Linked DNA regions of Drosophila melanogaster. The protein of the gene in region 2 interacts with the protein of the main gene of each other region in a biochemical or structural test. Each region holds a gene or a part of one and is shown on either strand. Other genes may lie near its edges.

What was found. Proteins that work in one complex are often made in the same cells at the same time.
Region 1: of the proteins of inaC (region 2) and inaD, one has a biochemical effect on the other in vitro, tested with the Drosophila melanogaster proteins (3 studies listed by BioGRID, with this or other methods).

What each region holds. Positions count from the first base shown.
Region 1 is NT_033778.4:22,855,176-22,860,630, forward strand, and holds inaD (inactivation no afterpotential D), read right to left. Parts: upstream 3,620-5,455; 5' UTR 3,424-3,619; coding exon 3,387-3,423; intron 3,037-3,386; coding exon 2,426-3,036; intron 2,372-2,425; coding exon 2,281-2,371; intron 2,219-2,280; coding exon 1,863-2,218; intron 1,799-1,862; coding exon 1,574-1,798; intron 1,515-1,573; coding exon 1,403-1,514; intron 1,346-1,402; coding exon 1,206-1,345; intron 1,146-1,205; coding exon 849-1,145; intron 779-848; coding exon 587-778; 3' UTR 513-586; downstream 1-512. Other genes in the region: RpL23 (ribosomal protein L23), read left to right, coding at 270-467. UniProt on the Drosophila melanogaster protein: Involved in the negative feedback regulation of the light-activated signaling cascade in photoreceptors through a calcium-mediated process.
Region 2 is NT_033778.4:16,896,887-16,902,098, reverse strand, and holds inaC (inactivation no afterpotential C), read right to left. Parts: upstream 3,565-5,212; 5' UTR 3,455-3,564; coding exon 3,177-3,454; intron 3,016-3,176; coding exon 2,984-3,015; intron 2,930-2,983; coding exon 2,735-2,929; intron 2,675-2,734; coding exon 2,546-2,674; intron 2,485-2,545; coding exon 2,328-2,484; intron 2,268-2,327; coding exon 2,039-2,267; intron 1,985-2,038; coding exon 1,587-1,984; intron 1,524-1,586; coding exon 1,322-1,523; intron 1,263-1,321; coding exon 1,074-1,262; intron 1,017-1,073; coding exon 876-1,016; intron 815-875; coding exon 662-814; 3' UTR 524-661; downstream 1-523. UniProt on the Drosophila melanogaster protein: This is a calcium-activated, phospholipid-dependent, serine- and threonine-specific enzyme. This isozyme is a negative regulator of the visual transduction cascade and has been shown to be required for photoreceptor cell inactivation and light adaptation.

The DNA of each region.
Region 1 (5,455 bases), 6.0 Mb from region 2:
GGAAGGTTTCTCCTTACGCTTCCAATAAATTTTCCCCACATGTTTTGTGCCGGCTAAGATAGCTTATCGCACCAAACTCACGTTTTTAATATTTTTGTTTATTGATAAGAATTTAAAATTGTAGTGAAGAAGGTTTATAAAACGGTTTCACTGCACTTCTCATAATTCCCCCACCTATAACAACGCACTTTTGCATAACTAACCGATGCAGCAGGAGGTTTGCACACTGCCGAGCAACTTTGCTAACTACTATTTTCATTTGTTTCCAGGTCATGCCTGCCGTGGTTATTCGGCAGCGCAAACCGTTCAGGAGGAGGGACGGGGTGTTTATATACTTTGAGGACAATGCCGGGGTAATAGTAAACAACAAGGGCGAAATGAAGGGCTCGGCCATCACTGGACCGGTGGCCAAGGAATGCGCCGATCTGTGGCCCCGTATTGCATCCAATGCAAGCTCTATAGCCTAAGGAGTTTCCTTTTCAATAAACCCACAACGGAAAACAGATTGTTTTGAATTCGAATTGTTGGTTCTTTTATTGAATTGCTGCACTGCTTCGCTACCGGAGGAGGAGAATGAGGATCGTCTCTAGGCCTTGGGTGCCTCCGTACGTAGAGTGGGCTTGGGTCGTGTCACTTCCATCGATACCTTGCCGTTGGCTCCCTTGAACAAGGCGTAGCACACCTGGAACGGAAGACCCTCCAAGGCATCGCCATTGAATTTGGTGATAATATCGCCGCGCTGCAGTTTGCTGTCTATCTCCGGGTATTGTCCTTGAATCTGTCGAGAAAGTAGTTACTTAGGGTTGAGCCTTCCTACCACTGTATACCAGTGGTGTATGTGCACTCACCAAGTCCGCGATGGTACATCCAATTTCGTTGGGAGAAAGCGACAGGCCCAGCTCCTTGCCTGCTTTTTTCATAAGGTCAACGTTAAACTTTTCCAGCTCCGGAGGATCAGCGCGGAAGACCGTTAGGGTGACCGCTTTCTCGTATGTGGTGTGGAATAACTGATGGACCTTCAGTGTCGTCATGGATCCCACGTGGATTGGCGTACCATTTATATCGCAAATGTGGTCAAAGATCTTGAGGCGCTTGTCGGCTGCCACTTGTCCCTCCGGATAAACGTGGGTGATTACACAGCCAGTCTGTCAGGGAAAAGTTGTTTAAGGTACTTCTTGCAGAAACAGAAAGTTCAGATAGCCCACCGTGACATGGTTGTTCTTGCCGCCGCAGACGATGACGCCCATTGGCTTCTTTTCCACCTTCAACTCAATGAGTATCTTTTTGTTCGGCTTGATCTCGGCTGTGGCGGGTTCCTGTGGCTTTTCCTCCTCTTTCTTGGCCTCTGTGAGTTATCGGGATGAAGATGTCAGTTTTGAACTTGCTTGGACGCAATACCTACCCTCCTTCTTTTTCTCTTCCGCCGCCTTCTCAGCCTTTATCGCCTCCTCGCTCTTGAGAGTCAATAGAATCATGGTCACTACGCCCTCGGCACGTTTAAGCAGTCCAGTAGCCTGAAGTGGATATGAAATGGTTTTAAACTAAGTGGTTGGAGGGCTTCCTGACGACTCACATCATCGTAGTTGGATTCCAGTGTTACATCCTGATTAACGGCCAGCAGCATGTCGCCCACTTTCACGCCCGCCAACTCGGCATTCGATCCCTCTCTCAGATCCGAGATGAAAATGCCACTTCCCACCTCAGCGTGCTTGCCATAGATGACCATGATGCCCAGGAAACCCTCCTTGCGCACCTGCACCGTGCGCGCCTTGGGAAACTGGTCGAAGATAAACTTAGTCTGGAATAGAAGGGAAGGACATTTTATCGCAGGATCCATCCGAAAAGAAGTGAAAAGTACGGACCTCATCAGACGCGGTGGGGAACTTCTTGATGGGCTTGACGCACATGCCCTCATCGTTGGGCTTGCGTCGCGAGGTGATCATCACGAGCTTATCCCCATCCACGTTCTTGAACACGGCGGAAGCGTTCAAGTGGCAGCGATTCTTCAGCACATTGCCGTTGACCTCGACGATCTCGTCGCCCGGTTTGATGTCCACGCTACCCAATGCTCCGTTGGGATCCACACCGGCAACAAAGCAGGCCATCTTCTGGCGGTCCTTGTGGCCAGCGAGTGCGAGTCCCAGTGGCTTGCTGGCGTCCCTCTGGACCTCGATCCTGCGCAGATCCTTCATCATGTTGTACCGCTTGTTGATCTTAGCTGGGAATGGCATTCACGTGCTGTGTGACTGACATTTTTTAATGGCTTCAATTGAGTCTTACCCATCGTGTAGCCAAATTCATCTTCCTGCTCCTTGTCGCGATCCTTTTCCTGCTTGTTGAGTTTGCAATTACCGGCGGATGCTCGATCGATCTAAGGTACTTATAAGTTAGTAGAGCGATGGGTGGCGACCTTGGGTTAACCCACCTCATAACCCGCCTCCGTGCGAATGCGACCGGTCATGTCCCGGGTGTCCTCGTCATCCTCGTCGGCGTAGTTACTATGCTTCTGACGCATCGAGGCCGTGAATGTGGTATTCCGCTTCTGCATCGATTGCTGCCGGTTCATGCCAGCCATTCCCTGACCCTGACCCTGACCTTGCCCCATTCCCTGACCTCCGGACGCATTGTTGTTGGTGGTCTGCTCCTGGTTGAACTTGTTCTTGGCCTGCATGTAGCCATTGCTCCGCGGATCTGACTTGGCCTGCTGCTCATCGCTCTTGTCGAAGGTCTGAATCTCCAGTTCGATCTTGAAGTCCGCCTCCTTGATGAGATCGATGACCGCCTGTTCGGTGGAGTTGCGCACATCCTTTCCGTTGAGCGAGAGGATCCGATCGCCAACCTTTAGGCGACCACACAGATGCGCGGGACTGTCGGGCACAATGCCCTTGATGAAGATGCCGGTGGTCTTGGTGTTGGGCGAATCCTTCACCTCGCCGCGCACTATGCAGATGCCGAAGGACTTCTTGCCCGTCTTGTCCAGGGTCACCATGTGAATGAGCTCTGGGAAAGGATTGTGCATTCCAAATGAAATAAAAACTATTTACAACGTATTGTTAAAGTACGACTAAGACAAATGTGAAGCTATTACTAATAAATATTTATTGGGGTCCTTATCCCACTTGGTATCCTTTCGCAAAATAATTTTCACCAATATTGTATAATCGTTTATATAAATGTTAAGGTTAAGTTCATTACATAAACATATTTCTCACAGGATTCTTAAGAATCAATAAAGTCAATTGAATTGGCTTTTGTTCAAATTTTGTTTTATTTGATTCATAAAACACAAAACGAGTATTGAGTGACCTTTGGAAGGTCAAGTTCTTTCGGGACTAGCTGCAAATTTGATTAGCAGTTGGTCATGAAACCACTCAATGGACACTGACCACCCGCGGTGCCCTGTTTGCCCAGGAACTGAACCATCCTCGCTGCTTGAGATCGACTGCTCCGTAATCCTAGCCAAAAACTCGCGACTCACTGACCGGACATTAAGCGCACCGAATTAAGCTCAAATGTAATATCGAATATTTATTGTTATGGGTTTTCACTTAATTATTATTTGTGAATATTCCGCGTTGGCTGCGCCCGATTTGAGTCCATTGAAAAGTGCGCCTAAACTGATTTTACAATTAGCGGGCGAACATTCTTGCTAACTGACTTAGTGGCCATTCTATTTTGAGTATGATTTTCGTATCGATTACACTGGTCAGCAGGGTTGATCTTAGAGTACCAGATGCATGTAGTTCATACATATATGCTAAGACACTTTCACAAACTTTCCTTCTAAAGAATGCTTGAGTAAAAGAAAAATTCTACTAATAATAATGAAAATGTTTCGTATCTTGAGATTACCCATTAAAATATTACCTTGCAGTACAGTGCTATCGATTCGGAGGAGGTGCCTCCAATGAATTGAGTAACTTTCACTGTCTGTTATGACACCACTCACAAAACACCCAGCTCCCCGAAGACGGCCATTATATGGGTTACCATCGCGGATGTGAAGGCTAGGGGAAAATGGATACCCATGTACCTTTATTGGCCCTATCAAGTTATTAATTTGTTGGTACGATTTGGCCCGTGCTGAACTCAACACTCCGCCAGGAGAAGCCCACCAAGTGTTGACCAGCAATGCCCATCGATTTTATATTTTTCTTTCATTGCACTTACAACTGAATAACATATGTCTCACACACTTTTACCTGGGCGAGAGCTTCTATATCGGCACTGCAAATAACAACAATTTGTGGGGGACATTTTTAAAACATATAATATCCTTAATAAAAAAACAATAATAAAATGCGCACAAAATACCGAAGAATAAAGAGTAAATAAATATAAAATGTAAGGTGACAATGATATGATATTGAATATGAACTGTATATATTCAGTATCAATAATATAGCCCCAAAAAGTAGGCAACAATTTCAATGCGAATTGGTAAGGATTGCTGGGGAACTTCTGAACCAGACACAAGCGGTAATCAAATAAAACTTTCAAGATTTTTATCTTTCGAGTGGCAAATAAATTTAATTTGTCTGCCGAGCTTAAATTCATAATCAAGATTTGCATTTTAATGCCTTTGTCGGGGGGAAAGGCGGTATGAAAAAAGGAAACTGGAGGCAGGGAAGGGAGAATATGACTATGCAAACATTTCCCGAACATTGCCCGAACGGAATGAAACGAAAGTGGAATGGCTAAGGCAGCTCCAAAGGAAAACTAGAGTAAACACATGCTCAAAGGAGCTGGGCGCAAAATGGGGTTTAAACTGGAAAATGGCGAACCCAACGGAGAGTGGGAGTGAGAGCGATGGGAGTGGAACGTCAACGACTGCGAAACGATGCTGGAAATTAATTTCATAATAAAAAAGCGTAAGGAAACCCATTTGATAAAACAATTTCCTTTTTGCCTCCCAACAGTCATGTTTTGTTAGTAAAGTAAATTCAAAAGAGAGCACAGCGAAAATATGGCAATGAGCTTAACGCTGCCGCCCCCTTTTCCACCTCTTCCCCCAGCCCCGCCCCGCTCTCTCCTCGTCCCTTGCAGCCTCTGCCGCTGCCGACGTCGCTGTTCGCAAGACCTCGCCCTCCGATTGGCTCTCTGGCCGCAGGCCACGCCCCTGCAATGGCTGCTTTGTGCCGTGTCCTTTTCGGCTGTTCCGCTCTCTGTTTCTCTCTCTCCTTCTCTCTCTCTCTCTCTCTGTCCGCTCCTGCAGAAGTCGTGCTGCTGCGGCGCAGTCGGCGCATGGTTGTTGCGGGGATTTAGTTAACTGAAGTGATTTTCCACTGTTGGCTGTCACACAGGCAAACACACTCACACACATACACCCACTCGTCCTTATGTAAGTGGCCACACGTGTCTGTGTGTGTGTGTGTGTGTGTGTGTGTGCAGGCGAATCCGTTGTTGACTTGTTCTCGTGTTGTACTTACATGCAGTTATATCAAATTGCTAATAA
Region 2 (5,212 bases):
GACATATTTGCCCTGGCACAGGAAAACTATTTGGCGACCCGTTAAACCGCTTTTCACCCCGTTGAATTTTACGCTCGACCCGCAAGATGGATTTGGGCAAAAATGTTCGAAGAATTTTCATCATACCCACATGAACGGCAATAAGTTGTGGCCTTGTGAGCAACTTTGAAATTCGACATACATAACTAAAAACTTTCAAGCCTGTTGATGAGTTTAGATTTTAACCAAAGTTGGCTAGTTAGCCCACTGGCAATCTTGAAACTTCCTGTCAGGGTTTCCTTGAGTGGAGCACACGCGGCGTATGCGTAACTAATTCAGGTGCTCTCGAGTGGTGAGTTTCCACAAAAGGATTTCCCCTTCCGAAAAGAGAGAAAGAGAAAGCAATCAGCTGCTGGTCCGGAACTTTCTCTGTTTTCTTTTACTATCTGGGCTTCAGAGGAAATGTTAATGTTAGTGGTGAAAAGCTGTCTCTTAAAAGAGAGAAAGCCAAAAGAAAAATCCACCCACTAAATATCAGAGCTTTAAGCGTTAAAGCTTTAATGAACATTTAGATGGCTTTTAGCGAAGGATACAATAAATAAATTTCGGTAAATTAACTTGCAAAAGCCTAGTTTTTCGAAGAAGCCTATAAACTTTTCTCAAAGCTTTTTTTTAGACCATTTTAAATGATGGTTATAAACTCGGGATTCATGAAAGAAAATCCGATAAAATCGTTCTGGTCCAAATTCATCATAAAAAGCTTGTCCGTTGGAGTTAAGTCCGTCTTCTCCTTGGTAAAGGCATCATCAAAGTTGCTTATATCCTTGCGATGTTTCTGAAATGTACCCAAGATTACAATAAAATGATTTCCTAGTGGGGCTCCTGTTTTAGCTTACAATCATTGGCTTAATAGGTGGCTCCATTTCGCATGCCTCTGCCTTATCCCAGTCCACATTCCGGAAGAAAGGATGCGTGGTAATCTCCTGTCTGGCATAGCGGCCTGCACCCAATCTATTGTTGGGCTTTTTGGTCAGGAACTTTGGAATACAAATCTATACCATTAGATTCATATGTTTTTGAAATCCAACACTTACGCTCGTTATTATATCCATGGCCTCCACGCTGAAATGCTTTGGAAACACCGCCTTCTTGTCCTTTATGTTCCTAAAGACAGTAGTTTCATCATCTCCTTCGAATGGAGCCTGACCTGCCATGAATTCGAAAAGCAATACACCAAAAGACCACCAATCAGCGGCGATGGAATACGGATCGTAGCTAACAATCTTAAATTATTTTTAAGCTGATTATTTTTACACTTATTTTTTTCGGCTGATTTACTTACTTCGGGAGCCATATAATTTGGAGTACCACAAAAGGTTCGTGTGGTCTGCCGCTCGGTAACGCCCTCTTTGCTCAATCCAAAGTCGACCAGCTTTACATGCCCCTCACCATCCAGCAAAATGTTGTCCAGCTTTAGATCTCTATAGATAATATCACGCTCGTGGAGGAAAAACAGAGCAATAGCCACTTCCACAGCGTAAAAACTAAGCACATAATATATAGAAGATTTCAAAATATGGTACTTGAATATAAATATTTGTACTCACATAGCCACAGACTCCTTGAACCTTCCATACTGCTGCATATGGTACATAAGATCTCCACCCTTACAGTACTCCATTACGAAGAATAATCGGTCCATAGTCTGGAAACATGAGTGCATGGAGACGAGGAAAGGAGGACGTCCGGATAGGGCTAGAATTTTCTTCTCATTCATTGGCAGCTCCATATCGTCCGTTTGGATAATGACATCCTTTCGCAGGACCTTCACGGCATACAGCTCATCCGTGCCACGACGCTCGGCCAGCAGGACTTTGCCAAAGGATCCCTTGCCAATAACTTTAACAAAGTTGAAATCAGCAGCTCGAATCATATCGCGTTTGCTCATATTATGCGGCATATCCTTGTTGTCCATGCGACGCTTTTCATTCGGACGACGATCGTGCTGAAAATCAGGAATATTAAATATGTGGCAAACTTGGTGAGGACATCCGCTTACCCTAACTTCATCCCTTAAGCGAGCTATATCATTAAAGGCATCCACACAGGGTATGTTATAATGTTCACCCTCCACTTGCGACAGAAACTTATACCAGCCATCAACTGGCTCCTTTTGCAGTTCCTCCAGGCTGAACGAGAACGATCCCATGAAATCATTGCGAGAAGTTCGATCCCAATCCCAAACCTCGATGAGCAAACGCTTGTCACGGTCCTGCGGCTGCAACTCACTAGGATTAAAGAAAATATGGTAAAGAGGTCTATTTAGAGGATTAGTTTTCAACTATTACAAAGTAAAAGTCTCGTTGAACACTGGATTGAGGTTTTTCTGAATGGTCTTGGTCTTCTTTTTGGTGCGCCCCGAACGGTCCGGATGCATTTGCACTGCAATATAGGGATCGCTAAACCCGTTGGTATCCATGGGAATGAGGTTAGCTGCCTCCTTAACTGCAGTATGAAAGAAACATTAATCTTTATATGGGCATATAAACTTTAAGTAATAACTTACTATCAACTTTCAAGTTATTGCCCTTAAGCTCGACGTATAGCAGTAGTTTACCCCTCACCTCGCTGATGTCCGCACCACACATCGGTGGCACTGTCTCCTGGCAGGCGTGATGCACATTTAGGTTGCAATCTGAAATATTTGGGTTAATAGCTTGAAAGCAATAGGACTCGAGTTTATTCAGGAATTTACTCTCGCACTTGACGCCCTGATGGGCGACTCCATGGAGCAGCAGTCCGCACTCGTCGCAGAATGTCGGTGTGGTGTAGGTGGTGGAAATCCAGCCGTGCTTCACCTTAGCGCAGTCGGCATCGAAGTCCGTGTCCTTGCCAGGACATTTGAACACCACAAATTTACAGCACTTCTGGTGAATGTTGAAGCGGCATTCTGCGTATGCAAATATTTTAAAAGATTTTTTAAATTGTGAACATTTCTACCTACCCTCGCACTGAAAACCTTGCTTGCCAAAGCCCCTAATCCCGGCACGAATCCGCGAATGCAACAATGCGAAACGGAAGAACAGCGAAAAAAATATAGAAAAAACAACGAAAAGTGTGTCAGCAACGAAGGCACTAATTAAATTAACGATGGGAACGCTGAGATGCCAGCAAAAACCGAAAACGAAATTTCTCACCAGATGAAATCCTTGCAATGACCGCAGTAGGTTGGATTCTTAAAGAATCTAACTCCGAAACGATGACCATTGACCATTTCGAGACCCTTTCGCTTCATCGCACCCTTCCTTAGACGATTCTTCATATAGTTGACGATATTTGCTTCGCCAGTGATCTCCAGTAGATTTCCTGGACCTTTGCCAGCTCCAGCCGCTGGAGCCTTGGCCCCTGGAGCGGCACTGGGCACCGAGGGAGGGAGCACAGTGGCCCCCGGTGTGGCAACAGCAGCCGCAGCCATTAAAAGATAATGTCAGGGAATTGGATAGCTAGTGAAGAGAAAAAGCTGACTCAGACCGTACGGTTTCAAGCCCGTCTAGAAACTGACCCGGTCGGTCAGGTGAAGACCCTAAAAGAAGCAACTTGGAAGCCAACAAAGTGCACACACAAAGTTGAAGGCAAGAAAATGACACAGAGTGATGCAAACGGGCGACAGTTTGGACTTATGCAATAGTGCATAAGACGTAATTTCATTCATAAATTTTCCAAATATGTATTTGTTCCTAGCTTATAGAAACCTCCTTATCCATATCTCATTATATTTGTGTAGACTGAATAAAAAATGTAATATAAATACAACATAATACTGCTCATACATATCAAAAAAAAACCATAAGAGAAATGTTTCAGAAAAATACCCTTCTGATTTAAAATTATTTCTGCACATGTAAAGCAGCTAAAAGAAAATAAAATATGTGTGAGTAAACACACGAATATTAAACGTTAATTATGCACATATCAAAGTGAATAATATTTTATAGCCTCTTTATTGCATGTTTTTTTAATTATTTAAAATCGGACATTTGTGGAACTATTTACCACAATTAAATTGTGCCTTTGTTAGCGTAAATCGGTGTTAAACAATTGTGTAATATTTGAGACTTTGTATGATTAATTTCTGTCAATTTCTAGGTACTTAATATATGTGTGCGCATTTTAAAAGTCAAATTTAATGCTTTTAACCATTTCATAACAATGAATGTCATGTCCAAAGCATCCTTACTACTAGTCCCTATAGATCTTACACAAGTTGCCATGCAACCATTTGCTCTATGCCTGGGTAATCAGCACTTATCCACGCTGATTCAGTTAGTTCGGCAGTTAGCCCCCATCGCAATTGTCCCCCAGGAAAAAGCACTCAACGACGTCCCGTCAATCGAACGGAGGACCGAAGAGTGAAAGCCAAGAACTCTCGTCTTTGGGCCCTTACCAGCGATAAGTGTAAACAGCTTGGGAAAGGTCAAGAAGGTGCTTACCTGGCCAGAAGACAAACATAATCATCATCGGAGCCATTGCTCCGGACAACTGCAGCTGTGACGTCAATGCAATAAAATTGGAAAAGTGGGCGAAGGGGTTTCGGAAAATGGTGATGTGCGAAAGCTTCTATGTGTGTGTGTGTGTGTATGTGTGACTATTGTCGATTGAGTATTTATACTGTGTGGCAGTTTTGATTAATTTATGCAATTGCTGGCAGGGCACGTTTTCCGTGAAAGAACCCCCCATTTAAGCGCCGCCCCTGCAAGCCAGCTGGCTTTCAGTGCAGGGCTAAAAATAGAAATAGAAAACGCAGAATTGAGCACAAAGTGCACACAGGACACAGAAGGACACGCTGGCTGGCAAGGCAAACAAAATACAAAATAAAAGCGGTTAGCTGAAATCCAAGCTGAAACAACTAAAAACGCTACCGAAAGCAGCGATGAAATGGGTTGGAAAATGCATTAAAGCGGAAATGTAGGACCTTTGTCGGGGAAAAATGCCATTAAAGCAGGTCCAAGTCAAAGTATCTAAGTATCTGCAGCGGCACGCGTATCTGTATCTCAGAAGTGCACTCAGTGAGTCGACAAATATGCACTCGCAGATTGCCCAGAACTACAGAACTGCACACCTGTCGGTTGAAAGGCATTGACAAGGGGGTTTCGGCGAGCAGAGGGAATTGCAAATAGATTTCGTTGCCGTGGCAGCTTTGGCTTTCAATTTACGTCATCATTTCCATGGCGTC